Rhinolophus ferrumequinum: one gene and its partners. The protein of the gene in region 3 purifies or fractionates together with the protein of the main gene of each other region. This does not show direct contact. Links are inferred from orthologs where the notes say so. Each region holds a gene or a part of one and is shown on either strand. Other genes may lie near its edges. The genes, in order: SKIL, SMARCC2, SMAD2 and TRIM33.

The links.
Region 1: the proteins of SMAD2 (region 3) and SKIL purify together in Homo sapiens (affinity purification with western blotting; 8 studies listed by BioGRID and IntAct, with this or other methods). This does not show direct contact. The link is inferred for Rhinolophus ferrumequinum from reciprocal best matches to the Homo sapiens genes SMAD2 and SKIL.
Region 2: the proteins of SMAD2 (region 3) and SMARCC2 purify together in Homo sapiens (affinity purification with mass spectrometry; 3 studies listed by BioGRID, with this or other methods). This does not show direct contact. The link is inferred for Rhinolophus ferrumequinum from reciprocal best matches to the Homo sapiens genes SMAD2 and SMARCC2.
Region 4: the proteins of SMAD2 (region 3) and TRIM33 purify together in Homo sapiens (affinity purification with western blotting; 7 studies listed by BioGRID and IntAct, with this or other methods). This does not show direct contact. The link is inferred for Rhinolophus ferrumequinum from reciprocal best matches to the Homo sapiens genes SMAD2 and TRIM33.

What each region holds. Positions count from the first base shown.
Region 1 is NC_046285.1:71,964,344-71,972,504, forward strand, and holds the start of SKIL (ski-like protein), read right to left. Parts: upstream 3,176-8,161; 5' UTR 2,836-3,175; intron 1,238-2,835; 5' UTR 583-1,237; coding exon 1-582. UniProt on the Homo sapiens protein: May have regulatory role in cell division or differentiation in response to extracellular signals.
Region 2 is NC_046293.1:55,536,077-55,544,023, forward strand, and holds the start of SMARCC2 (SWI/SNF complex subunit SMARCC2), read right to left. Parts: upstream 3,377-7,947; 5' UTR 3,303-3,376; coding exon 3,192-3,302; intron 1,144-3,191; coding exon 1,024-1,143; intron 466-1,023; coding exon 380-465; intron 1-379. UniProt on the Homo sapiens protein: Involved in transcriptional activation and repression of select genes by chromatin remodeling (alteration of DNA-nucleosome topology).
Region 3 is NC_046302.1:39,315,528-39,323,591, forward strand, and holds the start of SMAD2 (mothers against decapentaplegic homolog 2), read right to left. Parts: upstream 3,539-8,064; 5' UTR 3,450-3,538; intron 3,249-3,449; exon of another isoform or gene 2,779-3,248; intron 2,505-2,778; exon of another isoform or gene 2,421-2,504; intron 1-2,420. UniProt on the Homo sapiens protein: Receptor-regulated SMAD (R-SMAD) that is an intracellular signal transducer and transcriptional modulator activated by TGF-beta (transforming growth factor) and activin type 1 receptor kinases.
Region 4 is NC_046305.1:45,233,984-45,241,627, forward strand, and holds the start of TRIM33 (E3 ubiquitin-protein ligase TRIM33), read right to left. Parts: upstream 3,138-7,644; 5' UTR 3,062-3,137; coding exon 2,536-3,061; intron 1-2,535. UniProt on the Homo sapiens protein: Acts as an E3 ubiquitin-protein ligase. Promotes SMAD4 ubiquitination, nuclear exclusion and degradation via the ubiquitin proteasome pathway. According to PubMed:16751102, does not promote a decrease in the level of endogenous SMAD4.

The DNA of each region.
Region 1 (8,161 bases), on a different chromosome or scaffold from region 3:
ACAATAGATGTACAACTCGTCGCACACTGTATTTATTTGCTGGAGTGAAAATTCTCGGAGAACAGAATTTAAGACTTGGGGCAAACAGAGTCTCTTTTCTCCTCCAACCTGAAAACAAGAAATGGACTCCCCTTCCAACACGGTCTGGGTGAGTTCTGTGGAGCTATCAGAAGGGATGAGCAGTGGACCAGGAAGAACTTGAGGAGATGGAAGAGGCAGAAATACAGTAGGCGACATGCTTTCTTGGGAATAGCGAGCAGAAAATGCTGCCGGTCCACCCAGAGAGCTCTGACTACTTAAGTGGAATTGTGCCAGAGTGTGTTTCAAACTGGGATTTAAGTGTAAAGGCTCAGGCACAGAGGTACAGCTTCGCTTGACATGCTCTCCGTCAGTTTCCATTGGCGCTTCATAGTCCTCCAGGTGTTCCTTCTTTACTGTGGGCATCTTGTTTATCATCATTTTTCCATTGGCATGTCTGTCTGTCATCATTTTTTTCACTGGAGGGCTGCCATCATCTTCCATCCCATTCATTTTTTTATTTGAGCCCTGAACCAAGGAAAATTTTGTTTGTAGGTTTTCCATTGCTAAAAACTATTATGTTAAATAAGTAAATGTGAGATTTGCATTGTTAGCTGCTTATTTGCACAAAGAAATGTATACCAATACTTATGATAGCTTACTCTCAGAGAAAATTTGAATTTCCAAAAAGAGATCTCCCTAAATTACTCAATAGACTTTGCAACTTTGTTTTGGTTCTTATACTCTAGTATAATTTCACTCCAAGTGCTATAAAATTTCTTGTCTCCAAATATAAATTTAAAGAGGCACACCTCTGAGGAAGCCTTTCTTTCTTTTTAATTCTTCAGATATGTATTAAAAGTTACCAATTCTCTCAATTCAAGATTTCCAGGTTCAATGCAATGGTTTGGTTTGGTTTTAAGCAAAACAAGTGAAAAGTTTATGCAATTACTTGTGTCATCCAAACCTAGACACAAAAACAAGTCAAAATGATGCACCCAAATTTAACTTCTGGCACCAAGGACACCAAAAAAGGAAAAAGTATCTTCTCTAAAAATGATGATCTGTCATTCTGTGTTGACAAACTGAAGGCTTGCATAAATTGTCACACCAGTAAGAAGAGCCTCTGACTCCACTTGTACTTCTATAATTAAAGGTGATTTAAAGAAAAATTGCCCAGTTATCTTCAAGGATTACGTTCATTCTTCTTTTAATTACTCTGAAAGAGAAGGGGGATGGGGGAAGAGTTACATTTGAATTTGCTCCAGAGGCCAAAGGGTCAGTTTGAAACCAGTTTCTTAATCTTAAACTGAGTTCACTTTTCCAAAGGTGACACTTGAGTGATTTCTTTAAATCTAACACCAGTTAATGAGAACTTTCATTTAAATAGAAAAACAATTCGGAGAACGGGTAAAGGGAGCAATAATACCCTCAAAAGGAAGAGGAGTACTCCAACTCAGAACCGGAAGAACCTTAAACATATCATCTCAGCCAAAACTCAGTACCAGAGGCTTCTCAGTTATGCCATTTTAACTAAAACAAGGCAATACTTCATCGCTTAACTTAAAAAAAAAAAAAACACCAATTTCCTCCCCCCAAAATATCAGATACGAATTAACATATCTACCGTATGCAATTAACTTACAAGCTTAAGTGCATTGATTCATCTAGTCAGTGTGCTCTTTTTCTGGAAGGACTGGAGATAAAAATTAACTTTCCTTTAAAAGGTTAGTGAATTTGCTTAATGGAAGCCAAAAGTTATAGCCTCCACGCCTGGGCATCTCCATCCTTGAAGAAGACTAATCCGGGACAGAAAGCACAAGGCAGACAGACCTCACAAAGAATGAAAATGGAGGAAGGAAAAAGATTCTTCTTCTACTTCTCTCCTGAGAGAAAATCCAAAAGAAAACCAATAAATAGAAAATTTTGCCTCCCAAACTCCCAGAAATTTATCTTAAAACAAATCCAAAAGATGAAGGACCAAGGCCACTAGTCAACGTACTGACTGACTCTCGCCCACCACAGGAACACCTCAGCCAACGCAAACCAAGGGAAGAGGGCAGGAGGCATGACCTAGAATGGGGGAGTCCCCCAAACCCTGAAATCCTCCGCCCACGCAAAGCCACCCACCCGTTTCAAACCCGAGGGGGAGGAGGAGGAGTGGAAGACAGGGACCCGGGACGCCTTGGGGTGTGCAAGGGACTAGTGGGAAGTGGTGGAAGTGCAGTCCCCCAACCCCCACTCGCGGTCTCAGGAAACCCCAAGTGCCATCCTACCCCGGCCCCACTGTGGAGGCCGCGGGGAGGACTGTGGAAATCCCCCGTGCACCCTCTGCCAGGGAAGTTCTCGGGTGTCACCCCAGCACCCCTAAGGCTACACCTCCGCCCGTCGGGGGCCAGAGGGAGAAGGGTCAGCGAGCGGGTGGAGCGCCGACCAACCCGGTCTAGCCCGGGGCATCCCCGCGGAGCGCAGACTCGTTGCGGGGTGACCGGGGGTGGGGGGAGGGCGGTGTTGACGGGTGTCCCAGTCTCCGGGGTCCCGACGGCTCGGGTCAAGTGCAGAGCCCTTCTCCGGCCCACGCCCACCGGCCGGAGTCAGCGAGGCAGGATCCGCCGTAGGACACCCGCCCCCGCGCCCCCCTTGGCCCCGACCCCACCCGGGACCCGCGCATCCGGACCCCCGACTCCGGCCTCCACGCCCGGGGAAGCTCGACGAGCTTTGTTAACTCCCCACTACCCCCGTCGCTGCCGTCGGGCTCCCCGGGGGCCGCGCGCCCCCTGCCTCCCGCCGCGTCCCCACAGCAAGCCAGGGCCGCACCTGTGCCCGCCGCCGCCGCCGCCGCTCGCCTGCTCCCTCGGCTGTGCCGGCGCCGCTCCGAACCCCACACACATCGCTACACACAGCCCTCTGACGTCACCGAGCCCTCGGCCCGCCCACGTCACTGCGGAGACACACGGCTTCCCGCAGACGCCGCCGCCGTCTCCGGCCGCCCGGGGGAGAGCGAGGGCGGCGGGGAGGAGGAGGGGAGGGGAACGGAGCCAGCGGCGGCACCGCGCGCGCGGGCCTGCCACCGTCGCCTCACGGCTTCCAGTTCCTCGGGAACGCGCGCGCCGTCTGGCCTATTGTGGCTCCTCAGGGCTCCCCCCGCCCCGTCGTCTTGCGCGCGCGCCCCTCCCCCCCAGGCGCGCGCCCGGCGCTCCTGGCCCCGCGCGCCGTCTGGGCGGCTGGCGCGCGGCGCTGTCTGCGGTGCACCCGGCGCAGACAGGATGTTCCCTCCCCGCCCCACCCCCACCGTCGCCCTCTCTCCTTCCTTCCTCGAGTCGCCCAGCCGGCTGTCTGGGGCCGCCACCGCCCCGCCCCCGCCCCACCCGCTGCTCTGTGGTGACGGGCCAGACCCGGGGGCGCCCTGGCCGCTCGGCCGCCGAGCGACAGGGAGAGAGGGGGCAGGGCAGCCGCGCCGTGCACTGTGCACGACCCCAGCAGCCGGCTGGGCGGAGGCAGGGCCCGCCGGGCCGAGCGCTGCCGCCCGAGGTCAGGCACGGGCGACCCTCCCCCCGCAGGGCCGCAGCTGGGCCGCCCCGCCCCGGAGGCAGCCGGGTAGCGGCCGCCCTGCGGCGCCCCCCTTGTGGGCCCTGCGAGTCCGGGCTGCACCCCCCCCGCCCCCGCAGGGCCTCCCGCCTGCGGACCGCCCAGCCAGCTGCCTGCGCTTCGCCCCACCCTGGCGGCCCCCGCCTTGCCTGGGCAGCCTCCGCCCAGACGCCTTCCCCCGACTGACCTCCATCCGCCTTCGGGCCAGGCCGGAGGGCTGGCCAAAGTTCCGGCGAAACCGGGAGAAAACATTTTTGTCCCTACTTCTCAGCCTCCCTCCTTATCAGACTGCTCTCTCAGTTCCAAAAGGTAGAAATTACATGTTTCTACAGTGTATACTGAGGGTTTTTTGTTTTTCGTTTTGGAGGGGAACACAAGATGTGACGAGGAAAGATACGACGTAAGAGCTTCCGGCTCTGACCCTCAGGGTGGTCCTCCAGGTCTGTGACCCTCCCTGTCTGTGTCCCCAGGATAGGCAATTAGCATATAGAACTCTGCCGATCTGCTCCGTCATATTTCGAAACACCAAGAAATCCCCTTTTCTCCACCCCACCGCAAGATCAGGAACTGAAATAGTCCACCACGTCGCAATGCACAGAATTCAGAAGAGTCGAGCTTTGTCCCTTTTTTTCTTTTTGCCCATTTTCGAACAATTTCTCCGGGTTTTACTGCTTCGAGGGTCCACATTTGGAGCCTGCCGTAGTTCCCCCCCCCGTTTTCCTCCCAACGTACCTACCAAAGGCTCACAAGCCTCTCATTACCCCCAATCCCAAGTTTCTCTCCTTAACGCCCCCATCGCAGTGCTCCGAGGTCGTGCCCCCTCTCCTACCCACCCACCCCCTTCCCCTGCTTCTTGACTGCCTCCTTTCCTGAACATGAATAATTCCGCAGCACTTCCCATCTGTTATTGCCATAGAGACAGAAGCTCGGCAAAGATAATGATGTTGTGTGCAGAGCTAGTGGGGAGAGAACAGCATCTGCGAGTCTGGGGGATAGATTTTCTAACCGCGAGAATATTCAGAAGGCCCTGCTGAAGCTCTGATGTGGAAGACTGGACAGTCCTGGGACTTGGCATCAGGTCAACTCTTGGCAAGTGACTAATGTCTAGTGAGAAGAAACAATTTTTAGAAACCAAAATGACAAATTTTTTTTAAAAAGTGATTCCAAACTGCAATTAATAATACATGTTTAGTACTCATTTTATCAGCGATGAAAATAATTACTTGCTAGCATGTCCAAAGGCCTAAAGACCAAAATAAATTGATAGTAAATAGACTTTTAAGAAATCAAACACATTATTCCCTGACCTGTTCTTTTGATTTGCTTTCCCCAGGAATCTGTTTTTTTGAAAGATCTTTTGTGCCAGTGATTTCACGTACAATGGTTTGAGAAATAATGACAGGTAAATGTGGCTAGAACCAATCAAGCTTTGAGGGCATTTTTTTTTTCATTATTCATCAAAGTACAAAATGTACCAAATTAAAATTCACTTTGCCCTTGAATTCCCAAGGTCTTGGCCTCAAAGGTACAAGTTTGAAGCAAGTGAAACTAAACAGGATTCATTTACATAGATCGTATGCATATGGGGATGCTCACACATTTTTGCAGACCTACTTAAGGGTTTTCAGAAATTTTCAGTAAAATTGATTGTGTATGTAATGTGACTTTAAAACACTGAAACAAATGATAATGGTTCTTTATCTCAGAAACAGAACTGAATGGACTCAGAGAATACAGTCCTTTGAAACAATACGCACTGTGAGGTAATGCATATTGTAATTTCCACATACTGATGGTCTTCATCGGTGTTGAGAAGTCAACCTAAGTATTGGTTAGTAAATAGCTATTAGATGAGTTTCACATAGACTCTGACCACACTTTCTTGACTTGCCGACAGATTCTGAGCAAAGCCACTGTGAGAGGGTGGGCCTGTGTGCAAAAGAGTTGGAGGGTAAAGGGACCCTCCCTACCCATTGTCTCATCTTCCATTAAGCAGTACAAATAAAAGATCCAAACTAACTGGTACTAGGTGGTCTAGAATTTCTTCTTCAGTAGTTATGGCCATCTGGTAATAATAGAAACCAAGAATTTAGAGGTTATAAATTCCAAGACCAGTTCTGCCCTGTGACCTGAGAAATGGTTTATTTAGGGCAAATGATTTGGAGCAAATGCTTTCTTCTTGGCCCCATTTACTGATCTGTTGATAATGACCTAATATTAATAATGAATATGAAAACAAAAAGGATAGGATAAAGAGCAACCAAAAAAAGATAAAGTGGGGCCGGCCTGGTGACTCAGGCGGTTAGAGCTCCATGCTCCTAACTCCGAAGGCTGCCGGTTCGATTCCCACATGGGCCAGTGGGCCGGTTCAACTCCTCGAGTCCCACAAGGGATGGTGGGCTGCGCCCCCTGCAACTAGCAAGGGCAACTGGACCTGGAGCTGAGCTGCGCCCACCACAACTAAGACTGAAATGACAACTTAAAGCTGAACGGCACCCTCCATAACTAAGATTGAAAGACAACAACTTGACTTGGAAAAAAGTCTTGGAAGTACACACTGTTCCCCAATAAAGTCCTGTTCCCCTTCCCCAATAAAAATCTTAAAAAAAAAAAAAGAACTTGCCACTCAAATGCAAGGATTGCAAGTTGATTGACAGCTTTAAAAAAAACAAAGTATTTTTATATTTATGAAGGAGGGGAAAGAAAAAGTCAAATAAATGTTAATCTAGCATACAGTTACCGGCTTGTGTTTTTGTTTACACCTTATGCTCTTTTCCAAGGAAGAGAAACCAGTTGTCACTTGATGGTTCTAGTGCTTCTCCTCCCCCTTTCCTTGATCCTCAACAAAAACTACCTTTTTGAAAAACTTTTTTAGCAGCAAGTCAGATGCTACAAAGTCCTTTAATTTCACAGAAGAATCTCAACTATTTCCTTTTCCATCTCATTTTCTTTTGTAGCTTTTCATCTATTTCTACTTGTCAGAATTATAATGCTGATGATGATGATGATGATGATGACGCTTTTTAACTTCCTCATAGCATTTTAATCTTTTTCTTACCTATCCTTTTCCCAGTGCACTTTACTCCCCATATTAGTTTAATGCTATTGTGCCTGCTAGTGCAAAGTCCCTTTTTCATCACAGACTAGGCTTTCTCATCGGGGCTTCTTCTCCTCTTAGCTGCCAAGTCAATACTGGAACTACAAGATCCCAATTCCCATTTTCATGCTTTAAATAAGATGAGAAACAGATGCTTAAAAACTACTAACCTCCTCTTCCTGAATAGTGCCACACAACTGTTTTTCAGGTTTTAACTTGGGCTCTGTGATATTAGAAGGGAAGTAAGAAGAAAAGAATAGCCAGAAATGGTAAAATAGAGAAAGATCATGTTAGAAATCACTGAATTTTCAATGTTTAAATTGCAATAAACTGTAAAATCAATTAACAGACACATTAAGTGTATTTCATTGTCAATTCTAGGAATTTCATGAGTGTTTAGAAAGTTTGGCATAGTTTGATTTATTGCAAATCAGGGACATTTCCTCTGTTGCTTTTTTTTCCAAAAATAAAGGGGAGGAGTCATAATTAGCTCTGATGTTGCCAAGCCTGATTCGAAACCTGCAAGTTGAAGGTGTTGTCAAATATATAGTGCAGGACTATAAGTAGCTCAAAGTGCTTCACTCTTTCCTATGAGATACATACAAGAAATTCCCTTTTCAACAAAAGAGTAGAGGCGGGCTTAGGTTGCATGCCAAACCACTTTGCTGATCAGCTGCAGAACAGGCGTTAGACCCAAGTACATTTGACCCACCTCAGTGAAATTTCCATTCTTCATTTCCTCACTGCTCTTTGTGTTCATTCAAATAAGCTATAAGGACTGATTCAGATTAGCCAAAACAGAGCAAATATTGAAATATATAGGTAGCATTGTACCAAGCATTGTGGTATATTTATCACAACCCACAGTAATACTTATCCTTACTATGTGCAGTGCCCTCTGATACTTTATCCTGCTCCATCCTGTGTTTTTGTATTTCAATTCACTACTAATGCATTGCAGCCTACAGTTTAAGAAACAATGCATGAAAAAATAATAATGTTAACATTTATATAGTGGTTACTATTTAGCTCTATTCTAAGCACTTCACATGTAAAAACTCATTTAATCCTCACAACAACCCTATGAAGTAGTGGCTATTATTACCCCATTTTACAAGTGAAGAAACTGGTGCAGTTGTGCTCAAGGTTACATAGCTAAATAAATCCTTCCCATTGAATTGTGAAAAATATTACACATGATATTCAAATCTGAATTCTATGTTGGCTCAATCTGGATGTAAAGAAGTAGGATTAAAGTTTATGTTATTAAAGACCCCAAGTAGCCAAAGAAATCATAAGAAAGAAGAACAAAGCAGGAAGTATCATACTTTCTGATTTCAAGCTATACTATAAAGCTATAGTAATCAAAACATTATGTTACTGGCATAAAAACAGACAAATAGACCAATGGAACAAAATGGAGAGCCCAGAAATAAGTATATAAACATTCAGTCAACT
Region 2 (7,947 bases), on a different chromosome or scaffold from region 3:
GGGTATGTGACTTTTTAACATGGGAAATTAGGAGGCAATCCTGCTCACAGCTGGTGACAAAAATCACCAGGGTTTATCGATATCAATTCACTTTGTACTCAGTCCAAAAGGACAAAGGAAAGCTTGAGATGCTAACCTTCCTCTACAATACACACACTGATACACACACATTCACACTCACACTCACTTTGGACACTTATTTTGGCTGTGACTCCAAGCCGTTTTTCTGACCTAGCAAGTCAGGCCTACTGATGTAGCAAAGTAAGAGACTCATAAGGACGTCTACCTATGCTCTCCCACCCCAGAACGACCCCAAGGAATCAAAGGGGGAAATTCCCTCTAAACTAAATGTAAGAAGCATAGAGAGAGGGCATCTCACCATCCCTGGTCACTCTTGAATTTGTAGGCAGCTGCAAGTATGTGGCACAGGGAGCCTCCTGCTTTGAAATCTAGGAAACATTTGATCTACAAAATTGAGACAGGGAAGAAGTATATGACAGTTACATCCACAATTCTCTTGTTACTTAACAACCCTTTCACAAACCCCGTGCCATTGTATCATGTGGCCTGGGAGAGGGGAGAGAAGAAACCAATGTTCACAAAGCCACCTTGTGCCAAGCACTTACTGGGTTACCTCACTGACCATTACAGAAACCCTACAAGGTAGGTATACTAATCCCATCTAAAGATGAAGGAACCGAGACCCAAAAGGTTTAACCCAAGATCACAGAGACACCAATTGGCAGAGCCAGGATTTGAACACAAACCTGTGTAAATTCAAATCTCATATCCTTTTAATCATAACACAATAGTTTCATGCACTGACCTGACACTCTGAGATAATCTGTTGTACAAAGTATTACTAAAACAAAGGGAGTGGTAAGTTGGGGACTAGACCAAGGCAGTAATGCGCTGACCAAGGATAGAGATGCTAAAAACTTTACCCAAATATCAAAAAATCATGAAATTTACAAAACACTCCCTCCCCAGTTTGGAGGATTCCCCCCTTGCTTTTGCACTCACCGGCAGTTTGGTTAACGGTGCGTTGCTGACATGTTTGCCAAAAACTTCTTCCTGAAATTGTAGCAACTGTACAACCAGGCTAGACAGAGACTTGTTGGTGGGTGGTTCAGCTTGTATATACTGGGGAAAAGAGAGAAAGAAAAGAAAAATAGACCCCAGAAAAACTGTCCACCATTTCCCTTATTACTTTCCCAGGAGCTCTGGAAGCATCTGGGGCAGAGAAAATTGTATCTTCTTCCCCCACATGTCAAGTTTCTATAACGAAAATGGTAGAAGGGAGGCCCTCTACGCCCCTCACCAGGAAGTTACAATTCTGCTGCCTCCAGCCCAGGCTACCAGTGTTGGGTGCTGGGGACAAGGGGGGGCCTTGGCTACACCCTGAAATTGGAGTTGCAGGACCCTAACTCTCTAGCCAAAAGCACTGAGGGTTGTAAAATCCTGAAGATTCGACAGGCAATGAAAGCAATACCTCTGAGGCTCTAAGCAAGACAATAGTGTATTTCTTGGGGTAACATTGTGGAAGTCCAAGATTCCCCCTATAATGTGGCCTAATAAGAAAGGTGCACGGAAACGAGGTAGGGAAAACAGACTGAGAGAGGGAGCTTGGGCAAACAGAGAGGGAGCTTGTGCATTCCGCTTCTGCTAGGAACAGGGCACAAATGTCTTTGCAGGTCCTCCTAAACGACAAGGACCAGCTACTACTTAGCCTAGTGGGAAAGAGCAAGACAACACCTGTCTTTTCTGAGGAAACCTTATCTGAGACAAGTAACCCTGGGCCTTCTTAAACATTTCCATAGTATGCTACCTAGCATCCTAGCCTTCTAATTAAAAACTGAGCCAGGACGCTAACTTTCTCTTTGCCTTTTGAACCGTTTCCTGAACCCTAATCACAGAGAAGAGTGCTCTTCTCAGTGCAAGGTGTAAAGAGATCCTTGAAGGAAAAGGTAAACGACGAAGCTCAGAGCTTGAAAGCTGAACCAGGTCACAGGCTGTCACTCCCCTAAGGGCCAGAGACTAAGCCCCTAGACTGATCTCCCTTCCAAAAGGTCAAAGGTAGAAGCCTGGGAACCAGAGCCTCAAACTGGGGTGCAGACAAGCCACAGACCCAGCAGCTATTTGTCAGGATCCTGACACCCAGAGAGACCTCTGAGAGCTCATAACCAAGAACAGAGGGGCATTCTCCTAAACCACTCATCACACTTCTGACAGGCTGCAAAGCTGGGCAGGAAGAACTGGGGAGCTGAAGGAAAGCCAGAAACAGAATCCCTCTCAGGGTAGTGAGAAGGAAGTGAGGCAGACCATCTCCAGAGAAAAACCATATGTTTAGATGTTCCTTTCAACAAGGCCTAATGACAAAGACAACACCAGGAAAAGGTTCGGTAAAAAAGATAGGCAAGGCTTCTTGAACTCTTTGTTCACTACCTTATTATCTCCAGTTATGGTGCTGGGGGCTAGAGGTATAAAGAGTGCCCTAGCCTCTGAACCCCCAACCAAGGCAATTCAAGACCAGGTGGAGGGAGACTGCATTGTGCAACTGAGGAATGGTTTAAGAAGGGGTCTCTGCCAAGGAACTCCTATACCCTGGCTCCCAAAGAGGATTTCTTGTCGCTTGGCTGGAGGTGGGGACGAATGGCAGACAGGTGATCTCAGGGTGGGGGCCTTTTTCAGGCAGATGGAGCAGCCAAGGGCCTGCTCTGTGGCTGTTAACCCTCCTGCTTTCATCATCTCTCTCTGAACGTACACAAAGCACCAGGGAGGCCTCAGCCCTGCTGGTACCTGGCTCCGTGAGGGGCTCTGGCGGGCACCGTGGCGGGCACGCTGATTGGGGGGGATCGACACCGGGTCCACCGCTGGCCATCTCTCCCGGAAAAGCCCGGAAGGCGATAGCTCAGGGAAGGGTGGGCTGCTGGCACCGAGACCGGCCGGGGCAGTGAAGAAAAACAAGGGGCAGAGGGCGCAGCATTTCTCCGGAATCCCAGGCCGGAGGGGGGGCCGGTGAGAGGCTGGAGGAGGGGCGCAGGCCGGAGGGCGCGGTGGGGGCTGCTCCCGAGACCGCGGAGGAGGGGCTGCGGGCCGCGGGCCGCCAGAGGGTGGGCAGGATCCCGGGGCGCTGCGGGGCCGCGGTCCCTTTGTCCCGCCCCCGGTCTCTGCGCAGCCTGCCCGCGTACCTTCTTGTAGTTCTTGCCGAGCCAGAGCCGCACGTTGTCGAACTGGGTCACGGTGTCCGCGGCCTCGTAGTACTTCACGTTGGGGCCGCCGTCCTTCTTCCGCACCGCCATCTTCTCGGGCTCGGGCCCCGCCGCCGCCGCCCGCCCCGCTCAGCTCAGCTCCCGCCTCCTCCACCTCCTCCTCCGCCCGCCTCCCGCCGCCTCCCGCCGCCACGGCAGCCGCCTCCCGCCGCCCTGGCCGGCCCCGGCCCGCGCAGCGCCCCCTGCTGGCCGGCAGGGGGCGGCGGCGGCGGAGCGCAGGGCGCAGGACCGACCCTGGCGGCCTCCCCGGCGGCGGCGGCGGAGGGAGCCTTGGCGAGGTGTCTGCTTCCTGGAGGGGGCGCCCACTCTCCTGAGACCGCTCTTGACCTGACGTGGAATCTTCTTCCTTTTTGCCTCTCTGCTCGGGAAGTGGCACCTGTATCTTATCCTAATGGGATGCCCATCGTCTGAGGCATCCCCCACTCCAAGTGGTCGTCACCTTGCACATTCCTAACCCCACGGACCTCCTAATCCCAAGGAATCCCCTTTCCCCAAGATGTTTCGTCCTCGTCCTTCCTTCCAACTCCAGGAGTTCCCAGTTTAAACCCTAAGTTTTCTTCACCTTTAATTCCTTGTCCCAGCACTCCTTTTCACTCCTTAACTCGAGGAGTCCCCTAGCCGCCACCCTCGGGGCCCAGCCCCTTCCCTCCAAGTGCTTCCTCTGCAGGTCTCGCCATCACCTCCTAAATAGCTTTGCACTCCTTGAGACCCGTCTCTTTTCCTTTGAGTGGCGTAGAGAGAGGTAAGGAGCGGGGGCTGGGGGGGTCACAAGATGTTATATATGTATTGGTCTGTGGCTATGGGTATGTGGAAACGGCACGGCTTCCCCGCAATGCCGATTCCTGCTGTAAGTGTGAGGAGAAGAGCGGTTTTGGAAGTCACGGTGGCCGAGTGGTTAAGGCGTTGGACTCGAAATCCAATGGGGTTTCCCCGCACAGGTTCGAATCCTGTTCGTGACGTTAGCTTTTTCCGGGGCTCCGCCGCGCTACCACTTCAGGAAGTATAAAGGGAATCCCTGGTTTTCGCACGTGCCTTTCGTGCACTTTCCTTTCTGTCTGGGAAAGAAAAGCCAGAAGATCTCAAGATTTCACCTTTGGATTTGGGGGGGGGGGGGATGAGGGTGATCACGGAAGCTTAATTATGCACAACCTTATAGGCTGCTAGAATACAAGGCAATTTCAGACTTGTAGCTTTGGCATACATTGTTTCATGCTTTTGGGAGGGAATAGCAAAGGATTTGGTTGAAGAAGGGTTAAGTTTTGTTTGGGTATGTAAATGCCTGTTGTGCTATAAAAGTCAAAACTGGCGTTTCCAGGAAAAGAGGGCACCTCTGGATTTCATGACCAGAAGTCACATCTTGTAGGTCTGATTACAAATGAAGACCCAAGAAACAGGGCATTCTCTCATTTGGATTTCCTCGAGGAGATGCACCTCAGGTACAGAGCTAGGGAGAGTAACCTACTGAAACCAACACTGCAGATCCAGCTGGAGCTAGTGTGGGAAGATAATTATCACTTTTTATTGAGTCCTCATTATGTGTCAGGTAGTTAACCAAGCTAGAGAATTAATCCCTTCTCTAACCTGTCACGCTGCTATACTCACTTCCCGTGGTTCTTCCTACCCACAATTTCTGATTGTGGGGATATCTAGGACACTTGTGGAGGATGTTCTTTTTGTATTTCATTTTTTGTACAGCAGCATCTTCTCCAAAAAGAATCCCCAAAGGACAGGGGGTTCAAGGGTAATTCATAGAGCTTTCTAAACATTTACACTTTGGAATTTCCCGCCTTCATACCATTGCTCACGCTGTTCTTTCCAAGGTCACCCTCACCACTGTCTCCTTCCCCCCCTCCAATCCACAGAATGATCACTTTCCATTTGCACATCCTTTTACCCCTTCTCTTTGAGGCTCTTGATTACTCCAGCTGGAACCTATCAGGCTACCACCACCATCCACTAGATTGCATGCAAGTCATCTCCTTTGACACGCCTCTGCAAAAATTAAAATAAAAACAAATTATGTTCTACCTCTTAAATATGTTCAAGTCTCTCCACTTTTCTCAGGAGTGAGTGCAGACTGGACCACTTGCTGGAGCCTTTATGTGGAAAATAGGGGTCACTGTGAGGACTACAGAAGTTAATATATGCAAAGCTCCACTAAAGCATGCCCGAGACCTTCAACTTTTCCATAGCTGCTTTTGGTGTTTCATGACCTGGTCTCTTTTCTCTCACCACTCTTCCATATTCTCTACATTCCACCCATGGCAATCTTTTAATTCCTACTGTAGTATTTGTTCATGCTGTTCTCTGCCTGCAATAATTTTGCTCATCCTCACCTTCTACTCAGTCTCCACTTAAATGTTGGTTCTCCTGGGAAGCCTTCTCTAACCACCTGTCACTCACCACATCCTACGCCCTAATCTTACTATGTGAAGTCTTTCTTCCCCTGTAGATGTAAATTCTTGGCACATATAACCTCCTCAATAAAAAAATAATTTTGTTGAGTAAATAGATGTTTTTACAGTATTTATATGTACTTGTTTTAATCTTCACTCAGACTGGACTCTAAGCTTCTTGGGAATTAGGACTGTGTGTTTTATTTGTTTGTATCTCCTGTACTAGGTCTTATATAGATGTGATCAAATATGTACTGTAATAGAATCTTACTAGCTCAGTGCTCAGCTTTCTACCATCCAATTTTGCACACGCTCTCAGATTTAAATATCTGGAGAGCCAAGACCAACAAGGACCAGCAGAGGGCAACCGACAACTATGTTGTGAAAGGAAGAAGGCTCCACGGTTTACAAAATGGAGGATCTGAACTGAGAAGGAGAACAGAAACAGACAGAGGTGGTTTGGTATTTGGGAGATACTACCTTTTGCTCTCAAATGCTTCCCTTGTAATTTTAGAGGACTAGAGGCCACGGCGTTGGACTTTCATGAACAGTAGATAATTTCCAATTTTCACTATATCCACAGCCCACCCCAACTCCCCGATTCTTTCATCCTTCCCCTTCCATCCAGACAAATCCTCTTTCTTTGTGTTGCACGATCAGGCCCACCTCTCTCTCACCATTCTTACATATTTATTACGTTCTACCCACTGGTATTCTTCAGTTTCTGATTCAGTATTTGGCCTTGCTCATCTGTCTGCCCTTAAATAACCTTCTTCGTCTAGGCTTGCAATCCCACTCATTTCAACCTCCTAGGGAACCTTCCATAAATAAACCTTCCATAACACATTCAAATTCTACTCCACTGAATCAATCCTTATTTCAGAACAAACAAAACTACACTTTCACTTGACACTTCCAAAAATTTTCTACCTCCTTTCTTGAATGAAATGTATACCCTCTGCCTCCAGCTCCATACTATCTTAATACCCCAAGGTAGAAACCTTTGCTGTTTGAAACCATTGATTTCTTAATGGATTTCAGAGACATTGTATTCATTGTTTTTCTCTTAGAACACCTTCTCCATCTCATTTGCTTTCTCCCTCTTCCTGTGGAATTCTACTAAAACTTCATTCTTTTCCCTCTTCCCAAGAAAAAAATCCCAAGCCACTGTTCCAGGCATGGCCTCCCAGCCAAACCATGGTCCTCTATCTCCAACTGCCTATATGTCTACATAGCTGACCTAATGTCACCTAAAACACAAACAAAACTTCTCTTCCTTTCCCAGAATCGCATTCTCAATCTTTTCCATTTATGCTACTATTCATAATTCCATCTAGTTTCCAACCTTAAGAAATATCTGACATTTTTTCCTCCAGTGGCCTTCTAAGTGCCCCAGTTTCGCCACACTTAAATCTCTAAAAACACTGCTTTCTTCATATTATTCCCATGTCCAGGAACTTCAGCGCCCCATCTGATTAAATACATGCTCCAATTATCAATACACCCTGCCTAAATCACTTTTTTTTTTTTAATCCTTAATTCTTCCCAGTAAGAGACCCCAATCTAATCAGGTGCTAGCTTAATTCCTTCTTTCATGAAGCTGCTTCTGTCTACCTCATAACCAGAGACTAGCTAATCCCACCGTAAACTGATCAAAGCTACAAATTCTCAGATCTTAATCAGAATTGCTTTTATGTAACTAAAAGGCTAATGGGGGAGAAACTAACACGCAAGAATTTAACATAATCCCAAATTGTTGACTTGTTCCAAATGCTAAGAGGCTTGGATCTCTGTAGTTTATCCAGTAAAGCAAATCATTAGAGGACTTGAGCTAAAATGATCTCAACTGACACTTGTTTCAGGAATGCTGTCATTGTACAAAACATTTCTGGAACTCCTTCACAGCTAGTTTATGAGCCACATTTAAATGATTCATTACTTCAAAATTACTTTTTTAAAAAGCTGATGCATTAGCCAAGTTTATCATTTATCTATTTTCCAGATTTTGTTCTAGATTACTCCTGGAATTCTCCCAGGTCTCCTTCTTAGGCTTCTTCCTGTTCTTTCCTTTAATGTTTATATTCCTAGAATTTCTTGATCACCTCTGGGCAGGTAACTCCTAAAGCCACATCTTTAACCCTAACTTCTTGCTCTTAAGCTCCAGACCCACATTTCCAATTATTGGTTAAACACCTCTTTATGGAAGTACTTCCAATCCAATGTTCCCCAAATGAGTTCATTACTTCAGCCCTGAAACCTGCTCATCCTCTCCTCCCTAT
Region 3 (8,064 bases):
TGCATAGCCTCTCCGGAATTTGGTTTTGAATTCTTACTTCACATTTTCTGACATACCCTTAGTGAAAAACACCTTTCCGCTTACAGAAACTAAGAGCTTAAAAAAAGGCTCTTCTACTCCCATCAAAAGACAAGAAATCTAAAAGACATGCCCCTCTCCATCCTCTAAAAATGACTCTTGTCCCAAGAATATGAATAAACCTCCATCTGCCAGACTGCACTAAATACAGCTTTTATATGCATTACAAAAGACACCTGTATAAAAAAAAAAAACTGCTACAAAACGAAGCCTGCCTTTGGAATCCTAAAATACAAAACTTAACAAAATAAAAACCAAACAAGGAAAGCATTCAGACCCTTGTAAAACCCACAACTGAAAATATCCGCAAAATACAGAAATCGGGTCTATAATCTGCAGGTTATGCAGCTAAACTGAATGTTTTACACTCACATATTTCCCCCCAATGTGAAGTTTACAGCAGCAGCAAGATTCTAATCTTCAATATGAAAATGAAAAGAGGACCTTTGCCATCTTTCAGTAGAAACCTTTGTTTCTATTAGAGAATTTCTGCTGAAATATATGACACCATCCCCAAATCCCTACTTAAAGAGTTAAAACACATACCAAGTCTGACAGGACACAAACAGAAAATTACCCTGCAGTTTCTTACACAGCTATTTTTTTAATGAACCTTACAGATCGTAGATTTGACCACTTATGACTAGGAACAACCAAACTTTTGTTGAACACCTACAATGTGAAATCACTTTAAAAGGTATAGCTACAAAGTATAAAAACAAAGCTCTTTCTAAGAACAATTTCTTACTAAAACAAGCCCAGAAATGGATGTTTCCAATCACATTACATTAATACTAGCCAATGAACTACTTTAAAGTCAATTAATTGTGACATTAGAAGAGTATAAGTGGGCACTCACCTTAAAAATGCCCAGAAGACTTGAATTATTCTTATTTACTACCACAACTAATTTTATGGCAAAAACTAAGGAACTTTAAAATCAGTGTTACTTTCTGAATTTACCATAAACGTTTGCTAAATGACCTTTTGGTCAAACAATTCTATTGATTTCCTGTGTGGTTTTCCCAAGGCAAATAAAAAAATCCTCAAACTGTGATACATTTATGAAATCCACTTCACATTATTTCTCCCATCTCTGTGCTACATTTGCTTATTTACTCACATTAAAACTCCTCAATCTTCATTTAACTGGATTTATGAGTATACTTTTTTTTTAAAGCAAGTCAAAACTAGAACAGAAAAGGTATTTTCAGAGTAATAGCAAATTTGTTATCTTATTAGACTCAAGAAAAACATCCTTACAATCAGTGGTACTGGTTCAATTCATATAAAATCAGAGAAAAAGTGAAAAGGAACTAAGATTATAGAATCATTCAGGATCCTGGAAGTTAATTCAAATTTCAGGGACCAGTTTTGAAAAGATAAAATTACTCCAAGTAAGTTCGCATGATCTTTTATTTATCAACAATTACTTTACATGTGTCATTTAAAAAGTTTAAAATTTAGGATATTCCAAACTGTAACAAGACATGACTGATGGAAAATGCTACCTCCAACTTCATTTTACCTGGAGACGTTTTCTTAAATAAAGGTTTAGTTGACAACAAACTGGTAGTATTTAGCTATTTAAAGGGTCGAGAGGAAGGAATAACAAAATCAACCTAGGCATTGTTTTTCGTTTGTTTAGGACCAAAAGGAAACCATTAACCATATAAGGGTTAAGTAAGTAAAGGACAAAAGTATCCAACCCAAGGACAGTATCCCCCCAGGAGAAAACAAAACAATTAAAGTTGCAAATTTGAAAACCAAGTTTGAAATACATGAGATCAATTAGCGTGCCTTCTAAAGGTGTGTGATAAAAACTAACAGGCTCCACTCACAGAGCAACTTTTACAAGTGAGTAGAGAAGGAGCTCGACAGAGTATCAGCCGTGTGCATGTTTGTGTGAGAGTACACACAAGCAATTCAGAACCCTGAGACTATAATGGTTAACAAAGGTTACACGACCAAAAAAAAGTGGAAGCAAAGTATTGCACGCTACTAACACAGCTTCCCAACAACTCCCGAAACGAGAGCTCGGTCCCTCCGGCTTTGAAAATCAGAATCACAAACTACCCAGTGTTTTCGCGGCGGAGGGGAAGGGCCCCAGCAGGCCCCCGCCCCGGACCCGGCAGCAGGCAGCTCCGGGCGCGGACCCCTTCCCTTCGGCCTGCCCAGCCCCGCGTTCCCGCACCCCGAGGGCCCGGGCGCACTGCTGCCCCGACCTCGCCACACCCCAGCCACCAGCTCCAGTGGCCGTGCGATGGGGCGAGCCTCACCGACCCCAGCCCAACGCAAACACACCCCTAACCCCAAGGGCCCACCGGGCGCCGCGGTTTTACCTGGACCGAGGCTCCGGGTCCCGCCCGGTAAAAGCCGGGGGTCTGGGACCTTTTGTTCCTTCCTCTTCCGAACGGGATGAGGGGCTGGGAGGGGAGAGGGGAATGGGCGATTGGAGGCGGAACTGAAAACACTCTCGCGGCCGCCCGGCCTCCCGCCCCGCCCCCTAACCAGTGCCCGGCCCGCGGCCCCGGCGCGCGGGGAGGGGGCGCGAGCCCGGCCGCCGCCCGCGGAAAGGAGGGGGTGGGGACGCGCGTCCCGCCGCCGCCGCCCCTCCTCCCCTCAGGCGCGCGCCCGCATCCCCCACACCCCGGGCAGCCCGGACGACCGAGCCCTACCCAGCCGCGCACGCCAGCCCACCTCTGCTTCCGCCCTGCGCCCTCCGCCGCCGGCCGCAGCGGCGCGGCGCACCCACCTCCGGGCGGCTCGCTCGGCGCTCGCTGGCTGCTGGCTGGGAGCTGCTTCTCCGCCGCCGCGGCCGCGCGGTAGACCCGCCTCCCACCCCGGGCCGCGAGCCCCGCCGATTCGCCAGCGTAGCCCCGGGCTGGCACCCTGCCGCCCGCTGATTGGCGCCCCCGGCCGCCCGTTAGGGCGCGAGGCACGCCGGCCGAGCGCAGCGCTCGCCGTGCACGGAAGACGGGGCGAGCAGAGGAGGGAAGGAAGAAGGCTGAGTGCCCGGGAAGGGCCAGAGCGCGAGCAGGGCTCCGAGAGTCGCGGCTACTACCTCCCCACCTCCTTTCCCTTCGGCCCGCCCCGCCCTCCCGGGCCCGACCGGCGGCGCGCGCAGCCAATCAGCGTGCGAGGTGCTCGGGGTGTGAGCCGCGCGTCGAGGGCCTCGAATCGGAAGGGAGACGTCGCTCGCTGATTGGTCCCGCCTTCCCCGTAGAGCGTGAGGCGAGGCGCGGCCGGGCGGGCGGTCGGCGGCGGAGGACTAGGTGGGGTGGGACGCTCGCGGTTTCGGCCGACTTCGTCTTCCGCGCGCTCCCAGGAGAGGCTCTAGGAAGGGAGGAAGGAGAAAGCACGCATCCTACCGCGCTGGGAAAACAGCCCCGGGCGATCACCCATTCCTCATTGCCTCGGCCCTGGACCCCTGCTCGGCCTCTCCAACGCCATTGGGTGGAGCCTGTTGGGGGCCGCCGCCTGTCCCACCTTCCAGCCAAGCCGGGAGTGGACACGTGCTCATCCCCTGGGAAGGCCCGGGTTTGGACCAGAGGACTGGACGAACCATAGACATAAAAAGGGTTCCGCGGGAGCCGCGGTACCCGACCCACACTGGGCACGCCCATATGCAAATGAACGGGCGAGTGGGCGGGGTCCGAAATGTAAATAAGCGCAGGGCGGGGATCTTCTATGGGCATTAGCGCCAGGATAGGGAATGCCAGGTAGTTTTGTTAATAATCTGAATCTTGTTTCTCTCTTTGTTAAAAATGGTGCTAATAATGCATGATCTCAACGATCCTTGTAAAGTTTAAAAGATAAGCACGATGTCCCTCAAATGCTGGATTATCTTCCTCTTCATTTCTCCGCTGTTCCGGTAAATTGCATAGGCCCAACTTCACACATTGCGCTGCAGAGCTCTAAGCTTCTACTGGCTGCTCAAAGCTGGTGGGGGCCCCGCGTAACTTGCTTTTACCTTAGGACACCCTAATCTCTGCTGAAATATTGACCCCAACTATCAATCACCTGAAGTATTTATTAAGCACTTACTACGTTAGGCAGGGAACACCATAGAAGTGGAAGAGAAAGTAAGGTTTCACACAGGTAGTTGGTAGCAGAGACAAGACACGGGTTTTCTTGGCTCCCTGTCCAGCGCTCAGTCGCATGTGCTCCTTACTTAATGGATTTCATTAGGGACTCAAGCGGGAAAGAGGCATTAAGAATACATCTCAGTAAGCAGGAAGTACCAAATGACCATTTCAAAAAGTTCTTGAAGTATACCCTCTTTTCAGAAATTAAGGCTTCCCTGAGGAAGGTGCCTTCTGGAGAGATTTGGCCATTCCCTGAGTCTTACAAAATCTTCATTTCCACCGTCTCTCTCCTCAAACATCGAAGTACTTTTCTCATGGAAAGGTTGTGATAAAGAGCATGAACCCTGGAGGTAGGCAAACTGTAGTTTTGAATTCAGCTCTGTTCCAAATCTGTGATCTCTGGCAAATGGAACTCACCTGCAATGATAGCTACTCAAATGTAGTTGTGTGGTGATAAAATAAGTATCAAAGTGAACAGCACAAGTCTTTAAGTTAAAATAAATAATCGTTAACATTTCTTCCCTTCTGTTGCCTGCTTGCACTTATGCTAAAATGAACCTACTTAGTAGAAATTCGTCCTTCAAAAGTTGACCTCCAGGGTGGTTTTCTTCCATTGTCAGTTTAGAGACAGCTCTACTCACCCCTTTTTAAAAATAGCTTGTGAGGGACACCCAGGAAGCCAATTGGTGGAGCTCTTCCACCTCCTAAGCCTCTGCTTCCACTTCCCAGAGCCACCAGGGAGGGTGTCTAGGGCAAAGGCTTCTTCAGTTTAGAAATAGAAAGGCTGTTTCTGGTTTTTGGTCCTTCTTCCTACTAGTACAAGACAACCATTTTAAAAAGCTACCCTGGGTCATACAAATATCTTCTCCTATGTGATCACAGTGTACATTTGAGTGTCCATTTGGGTGAGTAGGAGTAGAAACAAAAGCAGGGCTGGCTGGGATTCCAGACGAATCTGCTACTAGGATGGGAGTTAGGTACTCTGAAGGGTATGTGACTTAAGTGGATGATATGCTTGAGGTCTAAGTTAGACCATCTCTCCAAAGTGTCAGTCTTTGGGTCCTTAACTCTTCTATTTAGGACGCCTTCTTAGACCTGTAGGATTGAGGAAAGGGGAGAAGGGACAATCGGCTACCAAGGCAGTCCCCAAAGGGTTTAGAAACGGGAGCAGGCGTACTGTCCCCTCTGCTAGAAATGCAGCTAAACCAGTGACAGAAACTGGGTCAAGACAGAAACTGAAGAACTGAAGGCGGATGGAGCAGGAATTGCCGTGGCAACAATCAACTTGAAAATCCACTAGGGTACCTCAAATAGGGTACCATCAGTAGGTCCCTACTGTATAAATTATATTGAGTGAATTTTATTTTTATGTGGATAGACACCAAGTTTAACCCTTCATTACTAATGACACTGCAAAATCAATGGAAGCAGAATCAATTCAGAATCAATTTAAAAGTAGTTAAATGTACTGGAAAGACACATAAGAAAAATAGTGATGGTAGTTGCTTCTGGAAAAGGAACCTGGAAGTCACGAGTGGAAAACTCAAATTTCATCATTATTTCTTCTGTAGTTTGAATTTTTCAAAAAAGTATATCCATGTGTTGATTTTTCAAAAGACCTAACTCATAGTCCATCTCATCTTTAAATCTGGAAAGCCCTTCCTGGTTACTCCAACCCAAAGGATATCACTCAGCTATGAATTTTCTTTCATGGTCAGAAGAATATACATACCATGAATTTACTTTAATTAATGTCTTGATCTGTTAGTTTAGTCTTGAGCAGTTTTTTTTAGCTTCTCATGTATGTACGTTTTGTCTCCCCATTTAGATCGTACATTTCTGAAGTACAAGGACAGCATCTCATTCTCAGTTGTCTTCCTACACCCTTACCAAAATACTAAGTAATTGAAGAAAGGTGAAATACAACATTTGTATAGCAGGAGAAGGCTATGTGTGTCATAGGTCTGCGAGCATTCTGCACAGCTTTGCCCCATCCTTCCAATTTGTAACTGCTCTCAATACAGCTATTGATTATCTTGTCAACATCTAATCTCTGTATTTGCTCTCCTGGTAGAACTAAGTTGCAATGGGCATTACTACATCTTAAGGGAAGATCCAGTTATTTGCAACTGAAAGGACACTGATTAAATGAGATAACCTAAGTAAAAATTGTAAAGAACAAAAGCATGGGGTTACTGTTGTTGTAAATGATAATGGAAAAAAATCCAACACCAGTTGGATTTTTATCTCAGTACAATGAAATTTTATGTTTTAAATGAACTTATATTGATGTGTACATCTGCCTCTACACACCTACACCCACACCTACACACACACACACACACACACACACACACACACACATTCGTTATTCACATGCTAGTTTTTATTAAAAATGAAAACTATTGGGGCAGCCAGATGGCTCAGTTGGTTAGAGCGTGAGCTTTCAACAACAAGGTTGCCAGGTCAATTCCCGCAAGGGATGTTGGGCTGCGCCCCCTGCAACTAAAGATTGAAAATGGCGACTGGACTTGGAGCTGAGCTGTGCCCTCCAAAACTAGATTGAAGGACAATGACTTGGAGCTGATGGGCCCTGGAGAAACACACTGTCCCCCAATATTCCCCAATAAAATTTATTTTAAAAAAGAGCATCTCAGAAATGCCTTTAAAAAAAAAAGAAAACTATTTAACACATTATGGGAAATGCTGGAAACAGAATGAAGCATACATAAGAAAACACAAGAAAAAAGAATTGAATCTAGCAAGTGTTTACCAGGTATCTGTTATGTGCCTGTCATAAAAGTATTGGTTGATCACGATGGAAAATTATTATTCTATGGCCAAAATCACTCAAGAATACAAACCATACAGGTAGTGTCTTTTAGATTTAAAGAGAGAGAAATTGAGAGAGAAGTTGGCTCTGGTTGAGAGAAAAATACTTGGCAAAACAAGTTATATTTCTCATCATTCTCCAGACATCTGATAATTAATATTTCTTGGCTGCACATATAAAGGCATAAATGATCATTGGATCGATTGAACATTGATAGCTAATCCAGTGATTGCTCAAATATGATTTGGAAAATTACAAATCCAATGCAATGAGGGCATTTAAATATTATCTAAGATCTACATATTTTAGTAAAAAACTAAATGGGCCAATGTCTAAACCTTGAAAAAAACAAATGTACAAATTATTTAAAGTTCTGTTGCGAGGCGGGATAATTTGGTAGTGATATGTCAACAGTAGGGTCTTATGCCTTATTTATAATTATCTCTGTGTGACAATATTGACTGAACCAGGCTGCTGCTAGGCAGGATAAGTGTGTGGAGGTATAATACTCTTGGGGAAATTTCATGCATATTAGCATAATTGTTCTGATGAAGACTGAAAAGCTTATTTAACATAACTGACTAGAGTAGACAATAGATGCATAATCAGTGTCTTAATGATTGAATTAATGAGCCCCAGTTGTTTGTCCTTACTGTAAACAGTCCTCAGTTTTGAAAAAGACATTTTGCTGAAGGAATCTGACAATTATGTTAGCTGATGAGTGGCCAGAATTAATTAATGGTGGGAGAGAGCCAATTATTAATGGGTCCTAAAGACTTCTTCAATGGTATATTTCAATGAGTAAAATATATAGCTACATAGCAGTTTCGTATCAACTCCTCCTTGCTTTCATATAATCACGGAGCTTGACCAATGCTCTTATTTTGTAGCTGAGGAAACCAAGGACCAGTCTTCTCCAAAGTTCTATGGCCACTTAGTGCCAGGGATTATACACATAGTGGCTACCTTTCCTGCTCTGACCCTGCTCACTAACTCTTCTACCTGTCCCTGGTCTCCACCCTCACACATGCCTTTGCTACTGTCTTCAATCTCCCTGTTACCATT
Region 4 (7,644 bases), on a different chromosome or scaffold from region 3:
ATTTCACAGTTTATAAAAGCATCTTCACGTTTATTATTTAATTTTCTTTAGTGAGATATAAGTGAAGGCCTATTAGCTACATTTTAGAGATAAAAAAACAGAAGGACAGAGACATGATGAACCTGAGGGAACCAGAAAACAATTAAGGGGCAGAACTATGTCCCCTGACTCCAAAACCAGTGTTCCTTCAAGAACAGCATGTTCGCTTTTTTAAAGAGCAAAGTGAAACATACACACAGAAGTTAATACAGCTACTAACAAATTATTTTCTAGACTCCTTGCCTGAAAACACTGTGACTTCCAGACTTAATTTATTTTAGATACTAGTTAGAAAGCTACATTACTTTGAAAGTAGTTCGTCCCATCTACTTACTTCTCCTAGTTCAAAAACAAAGGACAGAGAAATGAAGAGGGAATTTAGAGACTATTATTCTCTCTCCTACAGAAATATCAGAGAGCCAATTTCACTACCTCAGTCCCTCAGCCACATAAATCAAACACAATTTTCATCTTGTGTTCCCTCCAATCTCCCACCTAATCCAAGTTCCCATAAGAACAGTGAATCCCGCATGTCTCACTACACTCATGAGGCCACGAGCAGTTAGTTACACACCCATTATCATTTTGTATCTTCTCCATCAATCAAACGCTTATTCTTAACGTAACATCCTCACCTGCATGTCTCAATAATACTTCAAATCCAAAACACCCAAAACTGAAATCATCATATCCCTCTTCCACCACACACACACCTGCTGTATGCCTGAACTCTTTTATTTGCATTAATAGCACTGACACCCATCAAACAAGAAACTTGGAACTCAGCCTAGACAAGTTGTCTCTCCCTCACACCAATCTTAATGTGCCCCCCCCAATCTCATTCCCACGGCTACTCACAATTCCCATGGCTGCTTTCTCCCAGAGCTACTTTCTCCCATAGCAAAATGCTCCCTTCCTTAACACCTGATATCAGTCCTTTACTACCCATTCCAAATGCTAATTTCTTACCTAGATTACTGCCAAGATTCTCTTAATTGCTCCTGCCTCCAGCCTTGACTTCCTTTACCCTTCCACATGCCCCCAAGTGATCTCTGTGGATCACAAATGCAATACTTTTATTCTCTTCATATAAAATTCCTTCAGGGACTCCCTTATGTCTACACTGTACAGGATACACTCTACAGGATGAATCCAAAACCCTTAATACAGGTCCACAATCCTTACCTGCAGGTTCTATAACTTAGAAGCTTTGAAATTTCTTTTCATAAATTCGCAAAACTCACCCTGAATTGCAGAAGACTATTTATTGTCTATCCCATTGGTGTAATATTTGTATGTTTCACTACAGAAATAGTAATGTGTTTGATAATGTGTTAACCCAGACCCTACTGGAGGATTATTAACCTTACCCCCAAAAAAGAAAAATTTCCAAACTATTCTGAAGTCTAAAACACACCTGGTCCCAAGGGTTGCAGATAAGGCATTGCCTATTCAGCCCATCAATCCAACCTAATTTCTACCAATCACCTTCCACATCTCTTAGCTTCAGGGATGTGTAACGTGCCCTGTACCCTGAATACTCTCCAATCCAGTGAGCTACTTACCTTTCAAGAACCCTGCTCAAGAGTTTCCTTTTCAGTGCCGTTTTCCTGACCTTCTCTTGATTGTGCCACAACCACTGCAGCAAGTACCCACCTCAAGTGCTGTAGGTTTTACATTTATTTCCCGTTAGACCGTGAATGAACTCCTCATTGAGTATTTTAGTCAATCCTACAGTGTCCAGAACACTAGGGGCTCGTTAATGTACAAGGAACTAAAATCCGTGCCCAGCTCTCCCCAATTCCCAATTCCCTTCCAAGTTCATTTCTCCTTCAACCCTAAACCTTAGGATTTTCCCCTAACCATGCAGGGCCCTCACAGTCATTTTCGTTGCCAGAGTTCCTCTTTTCCAATGTCATCTTAAAATTACTTTCTATCAGATGCCTCCTCTTAACCTCAAGCTCTCCACTGCCCTTTATCCTGCTCTATTTATTTCATCCCAGTCCTCCTTTCCCCTAGTCTGGAACAGACCAAGTCCTCTCCCACCAGGTACTTCGTACTCACAGCCCTCATCTCTTACCTATTCCCTCTCTCCTCAACACCTCTCCCGGCTCCGGGCCTTCCTTCCCCAAACGCTTCTCTGCAGCCGTTTCCCACACCCCCTTTTCTCCCCAGTACGGGTCCAAGAGCTCACGAACCTGCTCTCGGCCCGAGTCCATGCCTTCCCGGCCCGTACGCGAACATCACAAACCTCCCCGGCAGCGGTGTCCCCTCCCCCCGTCTCCGGCTGCCTGCACCCCTCCCTTCACCCTCCGCGTTATCTCTGGCGGTCCAGCTCCTCTGGAAACTGTCCCAGGGGCCGTGTCTTTTCACCTCTTAGACTCCTCGGGATCGCGCCGTCCTAGGAGCCCTGGGCCCCAGCACCTCCGTCCCCACCTCCTCCTCGGCCCCGCAGATCCCCTTCAGCCCAAACCTCGGACAGGGCCTCCCGCTCACCTTGCTGGATGTCGCCGTTGCTGCCCCCGGGGATGGGCACGCTGAGCTGGCGCTCCGGCTCGGGCAGGCAGCGCAGGCAGAAGGAGTGAAGACAGGGCAGCAGCTTGGGCTCCGCCTCACGCCGGCTCTGCAAGCTCTGCTGACACACGGCGCAGGTGTCCAGGAGTGAGGCTGGAGGTCCAAGAGGCGGCCCCGCCGAGGGACCCGGAGCGGGAGCCGAGGCTGGAGCGGGGGCCGGCGTCGATACCGTCCCCCCGGGAACTCCAGGGCCCACTGAGGCCGCAGGGGCTGAGGCAGCCGGGGCCGAGCCCGAGGAGGCCGCGGCCACCCCCCCGTCGTCGGGCCCAGCCGTGCCGCTCTCCGCGCCCGCCCTGCTGCCTTCCTCCTCCTCCTCCTCCACCAGCACAGCGGCGAGAGGCGGCTCCGCCTCCTGCGCCGCGGGCCCGGCGGCCCCGGCAGTTACCGGCGCGCTGCCGCTGCCCCCACCGCCGCTCTCAGCCTCGCCGCCGCCTTTGTTTTCCGCCATGTTTTCCTCTTTGAACCCGCCGGACCGCCCCGCGCCGCCCGCCGCCCGCGCCGCCGCTGCCGCCCCCAGCCCCAGCCGCAGCCGCAGCGAGAGCGGACGCCGAGAGCGAGCAGGCGAACGAACGGACGAGAGCGCGCGCGCACGCGGTGCCCCCGCCCTCGCGCCGCGCGGTTGCAGTGGGCCAGGCGGTGCGCGCGCACGTACGCACGGACGTCCTCTGAGGGAGGCGGGAACTCAGGGCGCGGGCGCGGAGCGGTCTTAACTTCCCCTCCCGACCTCCGGGCCCGCGCGTTGCGTCCGCGCCGCCGCGATTCAGCTGGCTTTTAAGGCAGAGGCCGTTTACGCTGAATTCCTCCTTCTAGAGGTGGTTGTGAGCTCAGATGCGACGGTGGTGTGGGGAGAAGAGTGGGGAAGGGTAGGAGGCCAGGGCTGGTTCCTGCAGAGCGAGCGTGGCCCTACTAGCGACGCCATCCCCAGAGGTGGGCGCGCCTCCGCGGAAACCTCATTTGCACGGTGGGACGCCGAGGCTTCCCGGCCCGGAGGTACAGACCTGCTGGGTCTCTGTTTTTTAACCTGCCCATTTCTTGTGGTTGATTGTCCCTCGGTGGAAAGTAAGCAGGCCTTTTTTTTTTTTTTTTTTTAAATGGGGGCCTGCCAGAAATAGGCTGAAAAAACCCGGGGAAGAAGAAACTCTGTTTTTAGCTTTTTAAGGTGATTGAGTCTCAGACGTGGCTTCGTATCGGAAAACCAATCAACTGAGGAGCTCTTTCAAAGCCAAGATAGCAAGACCACACCCCAGACCTGCATCAGGAAGTGGGGGAGATGGCTGATGGATGTTGAAAAGTCGCCTCGGCTGATTCTGATGTGTATCAGTTCGGGGAGTCACCGATCTAACCAATATTATGTTCTGGGAGTCCCACTTAGTGTCCTGGCGCGAGTTGAATTACAAATGCCCTAAAAATGTTGGTAATAGAAGCTTTCAGAAAGGGTTATCTGTATTTGAGAAACGTACTTTGGGATTTTTATGTAGTGCAACAGCTGTTTTAATGTTAGGGTCATGAAGTGCTTTCTTCTGACAGTGTTCCCAAGAAACTTATTCTTTGAGCTGGTATAAGTCCTTAAAAGAAGGCACCTGGAAACATTTTTCATTTATTCGTTCAAAAATACTGACCTCTTACTATATGTATCAGGTAGTGTTTCAGAAACTAGGATTACAGCACGAGACAAAGGAGATCCTTACCTTCAAAGAGTTTGCAATCTAAAGAGAAATAGAGTGAAGAAATAAAATGGAATCACTTATAGTCAAGCTGCTAAATTACTGAAATGAAGTAGATTTTGGTATGAGGAAACAATTCTATTCTTGTTTTAACTAGCCTGTGAATTTAAACTTTTGAAATTTACAAGCCTGCAGGAATGCCTGGACATATATCCGACTTCCAGATAACCCTAATTACACCCAAAGTACTCACCAATTAAGACCACCTGACATCTGACTGATAACCGTCCTGGACCAATCTTAGGTGCAGGACTGACTATTGCTGCAGTACTGATTCTCAAAAATGCACTTTTTACTATAAGAACTCTTTCTTCTTTGGAACACTTCTGGGTTTTTGCCTAGTTGTGTTTCCAGTTTGCAAACCTGAAGACCCTTGAATAAATCATTTATTTCTAGTCAAAGCTTCTGTCGTGCGGGGGACCCTGCTCACTGCGCCATGTGTCATGCGGGGCGGCCTGCGGGGGATCCTGCCGACTACGCCAAGTGTCACACAGGACGGCCTGCAGGGTCTCTGGTCCCACTCCCCACACAAGAACGCAGGATGTGGCTAGGCCAAAAAGGAACATCCACAGAGCCATAAGTAGGGGAGTCATACCACTATATTCTCTCTGGCGGCTGGGTTGGAGACACAGGGACCAGGAGCAACACAATTCTCAACCCTCACTGTGCCGCTTGCAGGCTCAGCCACCATCTTCTTGCTAGCTCCCCTTTTTTTGCTTGCGTAGCCACAGCAGTTATATTAGTGGACAATTGCTCACTGGTTACAGCTGACGGCCAACTAGCCACAGCTGATGGCCATTTGATCACAGTCGATGGCCATTTACTACCCGAGCCAGCACCTTTCTATGTGAGGCCGAGAGCCTGGAAACTGCTTTTTGGGGCTCTGTCCCCACAGCCTCCAAACTCTGTTTTAGTTCCTTTGACACTAATGGAGGAAGATTGAAAATATATGTTGGGGAGTAATAAATGCTATGAAGAAAAATAGTAAAAGAGATTAGAGAGGATTGGGGAAGGCCTCTGTTGATAGGTGAACAAACCTTGTGGCTCTCTTGCAGAAGAGTGTTTCAGGCAGAGGCACAAACAGTAAGTACAAAGGTCCTGAGACAGATGGAGATTCTTGGCTTGTCAGGAACACCAAGGAGTCAGTGTGTCTGGAGTTGCTTAAATAAGGGAAAGAATAGTAGAACATGAGATAAGAGAATTGAGGAGACAAGGTCATACACAAAAATGGTCCTCAATTTTCTAAGTGTTATGCCCTTGAAAAGAACTTGAAAAACTATCTTCTCCCCTCAAACATAAGTTGACTCAAATTTTCATCATGAGTGTAAATAGTTGCAAAGAGTGTAATTTCTGATATTTTACGACTAATATTTCTAAATTATTACGTTACTTTTAAATCTATCCAACAGGACAGTAAACACTAAACTGGTTTAACAAACTCCAGCATCCATTTTATTTTATTTTTTAAATATTTTTATTTTTCAATTACAGTTGACATATATTAATTTCAAGTATACAACATAGTGATTAGACATATAACTTATGAAGTGATCACAACAAATCTAGTACCCATCTGACATCATACATAGTTATTACAATAACTAAGCTATATTTTACATGCCCATTACTATTTTTGTAACTACCAATTTGTACCTTAATCCCTTCCCTTCCTTCTCCAATCCCCCCAAACCCTTTCATCTGGCAACCATCAAAATGTTCTCTGTATCTATGAGTTTGTTTCTGTGTTATTTGTTCATTTATTTTGCTTTTTACATTCCACATATAAGTGAAATCACTTGGTGTTTGTCTTTTTCTGTCTGATTTATTTCACTCAGCATAATCCCTCTAGGTCCATCCATGTTGTCGCAGATGGCAAGATTTCCTTCTTATGGCTGAGCAATGTTCCGTTTTATATGTGTCACTTCTTTATCCATTCATCTATTGATGGACACTTAGGTTGCTTCCAGATCTTGGCTAATGCTGCAGTGAACATATGGATGCATATGTCTTTTCAAATTAGTGTTTCGAATTTCTTTGGACGAATACCTAGAAGTGGAATTACTGGATCCTTCTGGTCTCTTGTTACAGCCTTTATTTTAAAGTCAGTTTTGTCTGGTATAAGTATTACTACCCCAGCTTATTTTTTTTTTTTCATTTCCACTTTCACGAAATATCTCTTTTCATCCCTTTACTTTCAGTCTGTGTGTGTCTTTCAAGCTGAAGTCTCTTGTAGGCAGCATATATACGGGTCTTGTTTTCTTAGCCATTTAGCCACCCTATGTATTTTGATTGGATCATTTAATCAACTTAAAGTGATTATTGATAGGTATATACAGAGGGTGCCACAAAAATGTATACACATTTTAAGAAAGGAAAACTATTAAAATTGTAATACTCAATATAATTGTAATACTCAATACCAATAACAAAAGATGAATACAAGTCATGTTTGACTTCTGCAATTACAAGAGGTTCTCAAAGTGGTTACCATCAGCATCCAGACACTTCTGATTACAGCAAATGACTGCTTGAGAAACGTTGACCAAAGTGTACACTTGTATACATTTTTTGGCACCCCCAGTAATTATTGCCATTTTACTCATATTTTTTTGTCTTTTTTTTTTCTTCTTAAAGAAGTACCTTTAACATTTCTTGTAATACTGGTTTGGTGGCGATGAACTCCTTTAGCTTTTTCTTGTCTGGAAAAGTATCTGTCCTTTGATTCTAAATGATAGCTTTGCTGTGTAGAGTAATCTTGGTTATAGGTCCTTTCTTTTTATCACTTTGAATGTTTCATGCCAATTCCTTCTGGCCTGCAAAGTTTCTGTTGAGAAATCAACTGACAGTCTTATGGGAGTGCCCTTGTAGGTAACTAACTGCTTTTCTCTTGCTGCTTTAACCTTTGTCTTTAACCTCTTTTTGTCTTTAAACTTTGGCATCTTAATTATGATGTGTCTTGGTGCGGGCCTCTTTGGGTTCATCTTGTTTGGGACTCTACGCTTCCTAGGCTTGTGTATCTATTTCCTTTGCCAGCTTAGAGAAGTTTTCCATCATTATTTCTTCAAATAGATTTTCAATTCCTTGCTCTCTTCTCCTTCTGGTACCCCTATGATGTGAATGTTGGTACACTTGATGTTGTCCCAGAGGCCCCTTAAACAATCCTCATTTTTTTGGATTCCTTTTTCTTTTTGCTGTTCTGTTTGGATGTTTTCTGCTACCTTATGATCTAAATCGCTGATTTGATCCTCTGCTTCATCTAATCTACTATTGATTCCTTCTAACATATTCTTTATTTCAGTTACTGTAT